Cricetulus griseus: one gene and its partners. The protein of the gene in region 1 binds, or shares a complex with, the protein of each later gene. Links are inferred from orthologs where the notes say so. Each region holds a gene or a part of one and is shown in the gene's direction. Other genes may lie near its edges.

What was found.
Region 2: the proteins of Diaph1 (region 1) and Ppfia3 are in contact, whole or in part, in a crystal structure (PDB 4UWX), measured with the Mus musculus proteins. The link is inferred for Cricetulus griseus from reciprocal best matches to the Homo sapiens genes DIAPH1 and PPFIA3. Residues at the interface, in NP_031884.1 of Mus musculus: Lys252, Ser255, Ala256, Ile259, Gln307, Asn310, Ala311, Thr314, Pro315, Ala316, Glu317, Arg322, Gln352, Cys354, Val355, Glu358, Gln359, Glu362; in NP_084017.2 of Mus musculus: Pro719, Arg720, Arg723, Leu724, Arg726, Met727, Ala728, Ala730, Leu731.
Region 3: the proteins of Diaph1 (region 1) and Cdc42 are in contact, whole or in part, in a crystal structure (PDB 3EG5), measured with the Mus musculus proteins. The link is inferred for Cricetulus griseus from reciprocal best matches to the Homo sapiens genes DIAPH1 and CDC42. Residues at the interface, in NP_031884.1 of Mus musculus: Met90, Asp93, Met94, Asn95, Leu96, Lys100, Pro103, Leu104, Lys107, Ile111, Met115, Gln118, Tyr119, Thr122, Ser133, Tyr139, Ser158, Arg160, Val161, Ser162, Leu163, Pro167, Val168, Val171, Arg210, Lys213, Ala214, Asn217, Asn218; in NP_033991.1 of Mus musculus: Val36, Phe37, Gln61, Glu62, Asp63, Tyr64, Asp65, Arg66, Leu67, Pro69, Leu70, Pro73, Glu95, Lys96, Pro99, Glu100, His103, His104.

The regions. Positions count from the first base shown.
Region 1 is NC_048595.1:199,788,294-199,791,915, forward strand, and holds part of Diaph1 (protein diaphanous homolog 1), read left to right. Parts: coding exon 1-5; intron 6-271; coding exon 272-373; intron 374-620; coding exon 621-860; intron 861-971; coding exon 972-1,101; intron 1,102-2,122; coding exon 2,123-2,247; intron 2,248-2,795; coding exon 2,796-2,960; intron 2,961-3,060; coding exon 3,061-3,196; intron 3,197-3,622. UniProt on the Homo sapiens protein: Actin nucleation and elongation factor required for the assembly of F-actin structures, such as actin cables and stress fibers. Binds to the barbed end of the actin filament and slows down actin polymerization and depolymerization.
Region 2 is NC_048599.1:154,252,011-154,255,632, reverse strand, and holds part of Ppfia3 (liprin-alpha-3), read left to right. Parts: intron 1-752; coding exon 753-815; intron 816-975; coding exon 976-1,002; intron 1,003-1,989; coding exon 1,990-2,165; intron 2,166-2,710; coding exon 2,711-2,808; intron 2,809-3,238; coding exon 3,239-3,414; intron 3,415-3,505; coding exon 3,506-3,574; intron 3,575-3,622. UniProt on the Homo sapiens protein: May regulate the disassembly of focal adhesions. May localize receptor-like tyrosine phosphatases type 2A at specific sites on the plasma membrane, possibly regulating their interaction with the extracellular environment and their association with substrates.
Region 3 is NC_048595.1:15,952,783-15,957,066, forward strand, and holds the start of Cdc42 (cell division control protein 42 homolog), read left to right. Parts: upstream 1-1,418; 5' UTR 1,419-1,540; intron 1,541-4,284. UniProt on the Homo sapiens protein: Plasma membrane-associated small GTPase which cycles between an active GTP-bound and an inactive GDP-bound state. In active state binds to a variety of effector proteins to regulate cellular responses. Involved in epithelial cell polarization processes.

The DNA.
Region 1 (3,622 bases):
TCCAGGTAAGCAACAAGGAGGCTCTGCACAGCTGCACAGCAGCCTCACCGCCTCACTCGGTGAGCAGGAGCTCCTTCCCCAGTTTTGACTCAAAATGCTGGCTGAAGAAGCTGCTGTGGGCAGGGTACCTCAGCAGACTCAGGAATCCCCCATCTCACAAGCTGCCCCGCCCTCATGCTTCCTTCGTTATCACTGGTCAGAGTGTGGAATTTAGAGTCACAGTCGTGATACTCAGACTTACAGCTCACCCCACATTTACTCTCTTTTCCAGAACCTCATTAAACAGATGCCAGAACCAGAGCAATTAAAAATGCTTTCTGAACTGAAGGACGAGTATGATGATCTGGCTGAGTCAGAGCAGTTTGGCGTGGTGGTGAGTGAGGCCTGTAGCAGTTGGCTGTTTTCCAACTCCCTTATACCCTTCCCTCTGGAGACCAGCCTGGTCACTTGCTCCTTGCCTCTGATCTGTTTTGAACCTTTTAAGTTAATCAATTTCTCTGTCTCCCCCACCCCCCACTCCTTTGCTCTGAAGCTCCAGTCTCACAGAGGAGGCTCGGCCTGTATCTTTTGACGTCTCTCTCCATTAGCTCCATAATGGAACTTGTTGCCTTCCTCACTAGATGGGCACAGTGCCCCGCCTTCGGCCTCGCCTCAATGCCATTCTCTTCAAGCTACAATTCAGTGAGCAAGTTGAGAATATCAAGCCAGAGATTGTGTCTGTCACTGCTGCGTGTGAGGAGCTGCGTAAGAGCGAGAGCTTCTCCAGCCTCCTGGAGATCACACTGCTTGTTGGAAACTACATGAATGCTGGCTCCAGGAATGCTGGTGCTTTTGGCTTTAATATCAGCTTCCTCTGTAAGGTGAACCATGGAATTAGACAGGAGGACAGAGGGAAGGCTACCTTGAGCCCAGTATTGGCTTAAGATCATTTGGGACAAGTCAGGACTAACAGTTTCTCCTCTCACCCCAAGCTCCGAGACACCAAGTCTGCAGATCAGAAGATGACTTTGTTGCATTTTCTGGCTGAGTTATGTGAGAATGACTACCCTGATGTCCTCAAGTTTCCTGATGAGCTTGCCCATGTAGAGAAAGCCAGCCGAGGTAAGGCAGTGTAGGGCAAAGCTAGAAGATTGTTCTGGGCCAGCAAGATGACTCGGTGGGTAAAGATGCTTGCTGCCAAACCTCCAACCTGAATTCAGTCCCTGGGACCAACATAGTGGAAGGAGAAAACTAGCTCTCTATGACCTAAACACACACACACACACATTCTCTCTCTCTCTCTCTCTCTCTCTCTCTCTCTCTCTCTCTCTCTCTCTCTCTCTCCCTCCTCCCTCCCCCCCCTCCCCCCTCTCTCTCTCTCACTGAAACACACACAAATAAGTGTAATTTGAAAATTTTTCTTAAAAAGGTGTGTACTGAGCCCAAAAAGTTTCTCCATGAGGAAAGAAATAGGACACTGTGTAGACGTAAATCATTTTTGGTTCAGACCATTTTAAGTGAGAATAAAGGAGAATTTAAGTAGTTAGGTGTCTAAGATTCAGGGAGGAGTGTGAGGTTGAAGACAGCCTGTATACAAGTGGAAGTACTTTTTCCCTTTCTTGAAATACTGCGTGCATAGGCACACACGCACGCACGCACGCAGGCACTCACACACGCACAGATGCTGGAAAGGCAGGTGCTTTTAGTCTAGGTCCATGGCTTTTGTCATTCTGAAAGACAGACTGGATTAACAAGCAGTGGGCCTCATTGTTGGGAAGTAGGCAAAACACTGGGTTGAAATGGGACAGATCTCTACCCTGCTTCTGGGTTCCTACCTACATCTCCTACTTCTGAAACCCTGTAATCTGAAATAAATGAGACCAAGGTCTCAGGGGATCCCATCGGTTCTTTTTAAATGACATGAAGTCTGCTTCTGTTAGTATTGTACAGTGTATGAAGGTTGGAAGTTCAATTAGCAAATAATTATGCTTTTGCTGCAGAGATCAAAACCAACATGAATCAGAGAGAGGAGCATATGTAGGCTAGAGGAGCATACATAGAGAAGAAAGGGAAGTATGTAAGCAGGTGAGGCTGGGTGGGCTCTTGATGGTTATTAGTAAGGTCTTCCGTTTCTCTCCTGTAGTTTCTGCTGAGAACTTACAGAAGAACTTAGATCAGATGAAGAAACAGATCGCTGACGTGGAACGTGATGTTCAGAATTTCCCAGCTGCCACAGACGAAAAGGACAAGTTTGTTGAGAAAATGACTATATCCTTTCTTTGGAGGACTTGATCCCTGGGAAGGGAAAATCTCTGGGGAAAATAGATGATGGCAATTTTCAGTTTTCACCTTTGAATTGGTTTTTTTTTCCACTAAATACACAATTTTTAAACTTAACGTAGAAGGGAAAGCAAACCTTGCAGATAAACTACAAATCCCTGAGTGCCTACTCTGTGTCCCATTCCCGTTATAAACGTACCCACCTTCACTAAAAACCCCCGAGTCCCTACTCTGTGCGCCCCATTGCTGTCACAGACAGACCCTTTCACCACCACTTTCTGATTTATACCTCATTGTTGTTTTACACAGAAACTGCATCATGTAGCTTTATCTGCATATGTCTCAGTCTTGTGTCTATAGTAGTCTTTGCAGCTTCTATTGTATAGGTAAGCCATAGCTTATGGTTTGTCACTCTGAATAATTAGAGTGCTTCTGTTCTGTCATGAGCAGCACTATACGGTGGTTGCTGCACAGCCCACTTTTCATCTTTGAGTGGGTCTCTGGTCTTGGTCGTGGTCCTTTACTCTTTGGCGCACAGTTTTGTGAAAGATGCACAAGAGCAGTATAACAAGCTACGGATGATGCACTCCAACATGGAGACTCTATATAAGGAGCTAGGTGACTACTTCATCTTTGACCCTAAAAAATTGTCTGTGGAAGAATTCTTTATGGATCTGCACAACTTTAGGAATATGTTTTTGGTGAGCAAGGGTAAACTGCTAATTTTTCATGGGGTTCCTAATGGTTATTGGTGGGTTTACATGTGCCCACATATCCACCTTCCCCCAATCTGTGCTTCAGCAAGCAGTCAAGGAGAATCAGAAGCGCCGGGAAACAGAAGAAAAGATGCGGAGAGCAAAACTAGCCAAGGAGAAGGCAGAAAAGGAGCGACTGGAGAAGCAGCAGAAGCGAGAGCAGCTCATAGACATGAATGCAGGTGGGAATGTGAAGGGGACATTGGAAGGCATCTTTGTCTAGAACCTAGAGCTACACAGGAGAGCTTGGGTCTAAATGTGGCTCCTGGCAAATGGTTTTTGGCAACCTTCTGCCTCCAAGCTCCTGGTGCTGGATTTCAACATGTTTAATTTTTTTTTCCTCTCCTTTGCTGGCTCTTGGATTATGTATGTCCCATCACCCTTGTGATTTGGGAATTGCTGTCACACCTAGTCTTTCCTCTGCCTATGCAAAATGTTCCCTGACCTGCTCTCATTCCTGCTGCTTTTGGGTTCCCAAAAATGTTTCCCCGACTCCCCCCTTCTTGTAGCTCTGTATTTCACCAGTACTGTGTTCCTATTACCTCTTAGCATGTTGTATGCATGTCTGAGATCATAAATGGATTGAACTTCTGGAAGGGGGTGAAAAG
Region 2 (3,622 bases), on another chromosome or scaffold:
ATTCCCCATGGGCTCTACCCATATGTCATGGGTGGGTTACATGAGTTCCTTCTTCAGGGAACATCTCTTTCAGGGCTTGTTACTCCTGTCCTCAAGACTCCCCTCCTGGAAATTTCACCACTTCCAAGGGACAGTCCCCAAATCCATAGTTTTCCTCTTTCTTTTCTTTTCAGACAAGATCTCACTATGTAGGTCTGGCTGGCCTAGAACTCATAGAGATCCATGTGCCTTTGCCTCCTGAATCAGCCCCACAATGCCCAGACCCAGTTTTTTCCTAGGAAGTCTCAAACAGGCAGACAATTATTGGTACCTGTGTCAGAAGCAATAGAATAGCACGTTGAAAGCCAGCCTGGGCTACTGAGTAAGTTTAAGTTCAGCCTGGACTATTTAGTGAGGCTTCGTCTCATACTCAAAAGAAAAAAGAGGGCCTGTGAGATGGTAAAGGGGCTTGCCACCAAGTCTAACTAACCACCTGAGGTCAGTTCCTGGAACCCACATGGTAGAAGAAGAAAATCAACTCCTACTCACATCAACTAAATGTTATTTTAAATATTTTTAAAGTAAAAGCAATGCCCAGTGCTAGAACACTTGTCTAGGGAGATGCCCAACACAGGGTCATTTCCTCTGTCACCTCAGTTTTGAAACCCCAAACAGAATGAGTCAGAGTGGGGCACTTAGGACACCATCTATCTGTTTTCTGTCCCCACCTGTATTGTGTCTTCTCCCATTCTGTAACACCTGGTGCCCCCCAGCCCACAGGAAACGTGTGGATGACACATGAGGAGATGGAGTCCCTGACAGCAGCTACGAAACCTGTGAGTGCCTCCTGCTGGTGGGCCTCAGGGTGGCACTATCCCTACTGGGTGTGGGGGCCGGGAGGAGTCAGTCTGTCCATGCATCGTCTGTCCCTTTTGTTCTCCTCTGCCTGTCCCCTTAACCCGCCCTTCTCTCCCCCTCTACCCACTAATGGGTCAGGAGACCAAGGAGATCAGCTGGGAGCAGGTAGGGTGCAGGGCGGGCTGCTCGCATGAACAGCTTGTGCACGCTGCATGGTCTTTCTCTTTTCCTGCGCCCTACCCTTTGCCTGAACATTCTAAGTCCCTGACCAGGACAGGAAGGCTGCAGCTTGGTGTGCAGCTGTGAACTAATTCATAGTGGCTTGGTGGGGGACAAAATGGAAACCCTCAGTGTCCACCTCCAGCTTGGTGCACGGGCCATTCCATGGTTGTGGGTTGCTGGGGGAGCTGGGGACTATGGTATTGCTGGAACCAGAGGGAGCTGCTGGATGGTGATAGGGCTTGTGTTAGGGATGGGGAAGAGGGCTGGACACACCATTTAGTGGCTCAAGTGTTAGCCTTGCTGGTTTTGGTGGCTGTGAGTGGGCCAGGCAAGTGAGCGGTGTCGAGGACATAATACACGGTGACTGGAGAAGAGAGAGGCCACATGCTTGACTTGAGCTTGCCAGGGGTGGAGGCTCCAGGTTGGGCTGTGGTCTGTTTCCTGGCCCTAAAGCTGCAAAAGACTTTGGTCTTATCTCATAGACTTGTCCTAAACTGGGTATTGAGGAGTGATGGTCTCTGGGTGGCAGGAAAGTCACTCTGGAACCCTAACTTTCCAGGTGTAGTCATGTTTGGGCTGAGTGGGTGCATACCTGCAGAGCTGGGAGTCAGTTGGTGGAGCCCTTGCCTATAATAGAGTCCTAACTTCTAGCATCAACTTGGAGTGGGGGTGCACACCTGTAACCCCAGCACGCAGGAGGGTGGAGGTAGGAGGATGTAGAGTTGAAGATCATGCTCAAACTTCATTTCGAATTTGAGGCTAGCCTGTGCCACATTAGACCCTGAGCTGGTCCATTGTTCCCAGAGGCCAGATTGCTCTGTGGTGGGGAGAAAACTAGCTTGGGGTGGGAACCGAACTTTATCCTTTCCCTGTACATATGGGAAAGGACAAGAGGGCCTGACCCCCTCCCTCACCTGCCCATGGCCCCAGATCCTGGCATATGGCGACATGAACCACGAGTGGGTGGGGAACGACTGGTTGCCCAGCCTTGGGTTGCCCCAGTACCGAAGCTATTTCATGGAGTCACTGGTGGATGCTCGGATGTTGGACCATCTGAACAAGAAGGAACTGCGAGGCCAACTCAAGATGGTGGACAGCTTCCACAGGTGGGGACTGCCTGGCCAAGGGAAGAAGTCACACCCCTGGAGAGGCTTTGGCTAATGGGAAGTTCTGTGAAATTCTAGCTTGTTGCTCCTTGAACCAAGAAGGTGGTCCATAGGAGAATGAAGATCTAGTGTGGTCCTGGTGACCTGCTACTGGGGGAGGCCAAATCAGGAGGATTGCAAATTTGAAGTTAGCCTGTACTAGAGAGTTCAAGGCCAGTCCAGGAAGCTTAGGAGACCCTGTTTCAAAATTAAAAAGTAAAAATAGAGAGATCCCGGAGAGAGAGATAGAGAAAGAGAGAGAGAGAGAGAGAGAGAGAGAGAGAGAGAGAGAGAGAACAAGCAAGAGAACTTAAGTAAGTACTAGTGCACTGGGGATGCCCAGTATGGGTAACACACACACACACACACACACACACACACACCACACGCACGCACGCACGCACACACACACACAGACACACACACACACAGAGACAGAGAGAGACTGATAACGACAGTGGCCATGGGAAGGCTCCTAGGTGACTCAGTTTCCCCCCATTGCTCAGGGTTAGTCTGCACTATGGTATCATGTGCCTAAAACGGCTCAACTATGACCGGAAGGACCTGGAGCGGAGGAGGGAAGAGAGCCAGACGCAAATCAGAGGTGAGGTCCTGTGGGGGCCAAGTAGAGTGGCCGGCTGGAGGGAGGAAAGTCAGATATTCCAACAGCTACTAGAAACAGGGTGGAGTCACCATGGGGAACAGGCCACAGAATGAGTGCAGAGTTATGTGCCAGACTGGCTGGTTCTGGCCACTGGGGAGCGCTATCACACAGGGGGTAGAGCCAGCATGAGGGCTTGGCCAAGAGCGAATGTGAACCTGCTCACTAGGGGGCGCTGTTCCTCCAAATAATTAGTAGAACCAGTAAGGGAGCGTGGCTTGGGAGGGAAATGGGAATCTCAGGCCTAATTAGCCATTTCCCTAGATGAGGGTGGAACCATCATAGAGGTATGTCTGGTAAAGGAAATGAGGGTGGAATTAGGCTAATTTGGCAGGGCTGACCTCTGGGAGATGCATCTCCCTTTCATCTCTAGACGTGATGGTGTGGTCCAACGAACGGGTCATGGGTTGGGTGTCTGGGCTCGGCCTGAAGGAATTCGCTACTAATCTCACCGAGAGTGGGGTGCACGGGGCGCTGCTGGCCCTGGATGAAACCTTCGACTACTCTGACCTGGCTTTGCTTCTACAGATACCTACACAGAACGCACAGGTGAGCCTTGGCTAGTCGGGGAGCATGCTGGGCACTTCCCCTGAACGCTTCAACCTTGGCTCACTATCCTCTCCCCCTCATCCTTCTCCAGGCCCGGCAACTGCTGGAGAAAGAATTCAGCAACCTCATCTCCCTAGGCACAGACAGACGGCTGGATGAGGTAGGCGTGGCAACAGCGCTGAGGTCCTCCCTCCGCCACCACCCCTCC
Region 3 (4,284 bases), about 180 Mb from region 1:
GAGAGATCAGAGCTGAAGGGACTAGCACAAGACACCCCAAGTTCTCAGCACAAAGGAGATTTATTTGACCCAGGGGGACAGAGGGCAGGGAATATGAGACAAAGACAGGAGACAGAGGACCAGGGAGAAGGGAAAGAGAACAAGGGAGAGGAGGGAAGGAATATTTGTCCCAGAGGTACAAAGGACTGCCTCTGGATTGAGAGGAGACAGACATGGCCCATAGACAAACAGCAGTTTATAAAGGTAAAAGGGGGAAATCCTGAGTTAGGATGAAATTTGACTGGACAGGTTAATTAGGTAAGACAAAGGGGGGTTTTGATCGCTGGACTACAATACTTTGATAGCTGGACATTGGCAGTCAGCCTCAGGAGGAGGAAGTGGCTAAATAAGGGAATGGACCATGGTGGCTAGTTTTAGGATTATAATCTAACGATTTTTAGCAAGACAGAGGGGATGTGGGAGGACAAGGCCATGTTTGCCACACTCGGGCTGGCTAGAGTCCCTTCAAGAGTCAACCTAGGGGGCCAGGGAAGAGGAGCTAGGCAGAGTAAATGCAGGACCTTTTTGAGGGGGCGGGTCTCTAGCTCTAAACAAAACCCAGGGCAATATTCTATTCTCACTCCTTGACAGGCAGATTGTTTAGAGGCCCGTGGGCTTCAGAAAGCTGTGCACAACAAGTCTCTATTTCTCTTTGAGAAGCAAAAAAGGATGCAGGGTGTGGAGATGCATGCCTACAATCCCAGCACTTGGGAGGTGCAAGGATGAGGATCAGGAGTTCAAGGTCAACCTCTGCTACATAGTTGTGTTCAAAGCCAGCCTGGGCTACATGAGACCCTGTCTCAAACGTCATTAAAGAAAGGTACCCTGGTCATGGGGATGCACATCTTTAATCCCAGCACATAGGAAGCAGAGGCAAGCGGATCTCCAAGTTCCAGGCCAGCCTGGACCATATAGCAAGTTCCAGACAGCCAGGGCTATACACAGAAACCCTGTCTCAAAAAAACCAAGCCAAGCCAAACCAAACCAAACCAAACCAAAAAGACATCCCAGACATGGTGTTGAGTATCAGCACGCAGGAAGCAGAAGCAGGAGAATATGAGTTCTGGGACAGTCTGGTCTATATAGCCATTCTAGGACAGCAAGGGCTATATAATGACACCTTGTCTCAAAATAAAAAAATTAAAAATAAGATATATTTACAATGCTTTTCTTCACAAAGTTCCAAGGACAAAAACAAACTTTAGTGACAACACTGTGAACACTTCTGTTCATAGTTTTATTACGAATAAAAATCACTGGTAAAACGTGCAGAAAACCTGAGTATAGGAGGAACTCAGCCCGCGCGTGCGCGATACGGGCGGAGCCACTACCAAGCCACGCCCACCGCGGCCCGTTCCAGCCCCTTCTTCCTCTTTGTCCCGCCCACTTCCGCGGGCACCCAACCGTGCGTCCCCTGCGTGCTGACGTCAGGCGCGTGCCCCTGTCCGGCAGCCGAGGAGGCCCCGCGCAGTGCTGCCAACGCCCCGGCGGAGAAGCTGAGGTGAGTGCGGGGCCCGAGTAGCCTCCCCGCGGGAGTGTGTTGTGCATCGCCCGGTCCCTGTCGCGCGCCCCCGCCCTCCCTCGGTCCTCGAGGATGCTCGCGGTCGGGGGCATCCCGGTACCTGCGGGCCTCGAGGGGGGGGATTGCCGGGTTCGCGTGCGCCCGCGGGCCCGGGTTCTGAGGGGAACGAGGCGGGGTCGCGGAGAGATTTGGGGCCGGAATGGCGACGAGGCGCTGCCGGGGATGGCGGCGGCGGAGGGCGCATCCCGGCCGAGCTGTCAGTGGCGGCGGGAGAACCAGGCACACCCATCCCACCGGCTCCCCTCCCCCTCCGCCCGTCCGCCCTCCCGCCCGCCCGGGCTCCGCAGACTCCTGGACGGGGGCAGCGGACGTAGGGCCGGGTTCCGGGCCGGGGGCTGGGGGCCGGGGGCCGGGGGCCGCCGGCCGCCGTCTACGTTTTCGGTCTCGACTTCCTGCTTCCCGGGCTCCGCCGTGGACGCGTTGCTGCGGGCGGGCGGCGGGGGAGGGGAGCGGAACTGCGGCCGCAGGGCCGGGCCGGGGCCACGGTGACGGACCGGGCGGCTCTGCGCCTGCGCCCCTCGGCGGTCCCCAGCCCCGCGCTGTGTCCGTCCGCTCCTGCCCCGCGGCTCCCGGGGCTCCCGCGACTGGGCCGGCCTCCTTGCCTTCCGGGACCTGTCTAAGCACCTCCCGAAACCCCGCCTGGCCGCTTGCTCGGTTCCTCATTACTAGCAGGAAATTTTCTTTGTTGGTTTTTCTATTTTTTTTTTTTTAATTCCTCTTTCCTCCCCTTTAAGTCCCGTAGAAATGCAGTGTGGAAGATTACGTCATCTCAGCATAAGGGGTGAGAGTTTTAACTCCTACAAGTCAGGGCTCCACAAATTAAGATACATCTTGTGGCCTTAGTGGGTCACTCCACTCAGCACGTCGGTTCAGAGTCAGGTGGTGTGTTTTTTTTTTTTGTTGTTGTTGAAATCATGTTGCCTGCCTTGATGGCTGCCTGAGATGCATCTAAAATACGGAAAGGTTAAAAATCTTAGGCTTAGGTTATTTTTGGCCAGGGAATACACACTGTCTGCAGCCACTTAGGTAGGCATGAACTTTAAAGGTCCCCTTGGCTGTCTGTACTCGGTTGAACTTTCTTGTGGGAGCAATTCTTTGCCACACTGACCAATTGTGACTTAACCTGATGTAAGGAACCTAAATTTGGTGCATGGTGCTAAGGGTGAGCTAAAAAGAGAATTTAGTTGTATATCTGATTTGTCTTTGTTAGAATTGCAACTTAAAGTTGCATGCTTTAGTTTTACCATTAAAAATGGTTTTCGGATTTATTTTTTATTTTGAAACAGGGTCTCTATGTTTAGTTCTGGCTAGCCTTGACCTTAAAGGGACATTCCTTCCTTCTAAGTCTCTCTTTATAGGACTTATTTATGTTCTGTCATGGGAAACTGATAGAATAGTCCCTGCCGCCTAAGTGCTGGGATTACAGGCATGAACTACTTAAATTACCACCCTTGGTTTTAATTTTTAACCCCCAAAACTTGAGTAATATTTTTAGACTTGTATCACTAGAATTGTGTCCTTTGATTATAAAATGCAGCAGTGCTGAAGAACATTAACATTGCAGAGCAAATGAGGTCCACTTGTGTAATGCATCCTTTTAAGGGTGGCTCATGTTTGAGAAAGAATTTTCCCATTATTGCTCATTTGTATAGAAAATAGCATTGCTTGTTAAGAAACACCAGAGTGGTGTATTCAAATTGACTTTCTGTAGTTTGTAGGTATGGCGCTTGAATCTTCCAAAATACACTGTTAGTCTTTTTGTGACATAGGAGTATAACATTGGAGCATTTATTTACTACTGTATTTTTTAGCTTTCTATGTTTAAAAAGTTTATATGTGAGCCAATTTGTATTTATTTAAAAAGTTTGTGTGTGCACCAGTTTGTATTTTTTTCTTTTTAATTAAGTAATCTGGCTGGTGAGATGGTTCAGTGGATAAAAGCACTGGTCAGGCAGGTCTGACTACCTTAGTTGGATCCCCAGAACCCATGGTGGGAGGAGAGAATCCTGATTCCCAAAAGTTGTCATCTAGCTGGATTTATTTAGTGTTCCATACTTTCAATCTTAGGCAGAGGCAGGTGTATCTCTGAGTTTGAGGCCACCCTTGTCTACATAGAGAGTTCTAGAACATCAAGGACTAGAGAGACCCTGTCTTGAAAAAAGAAAAACAATAACTGTCCCAGATCTTCACATTTTGGCAGCATGCAAGCATGCATGTGTACACACTTAGAAATACACACAGTAATAATAAAAATAAGCAATTACTTTGAAGTTTTAGGTTTTAGACTAAGGCAAGGAAATAAGATTGGTAATTAACTGAGTATTAAAAAGGAGCTTTGAAAATATATACAGTAATTTGTTCAAGACCCAAAGGTGTCTTGTCTTCTGTTACATTCTCTTAAGATGTTTCATACAGTGACCAACCCCGTAGCTTAGTAAACACATTTCCCCTGTCCAGTATTCTAAGCAAGCCCATCAAGACTGAATCCTGAAGTTTACAAAATGTCAAAGTTTGTTTACTTAGGATTTCTTTTTTGCACTTGAAATAGTTTTTTAAAATGTTTTTATTCCTTCATACTTTCATACATGCATACAAAGTGTTTTATATTTTGATCATGTTCATCCCTATCTCCTTTCTCTACCACCTGATCCCTGTCCCCAATA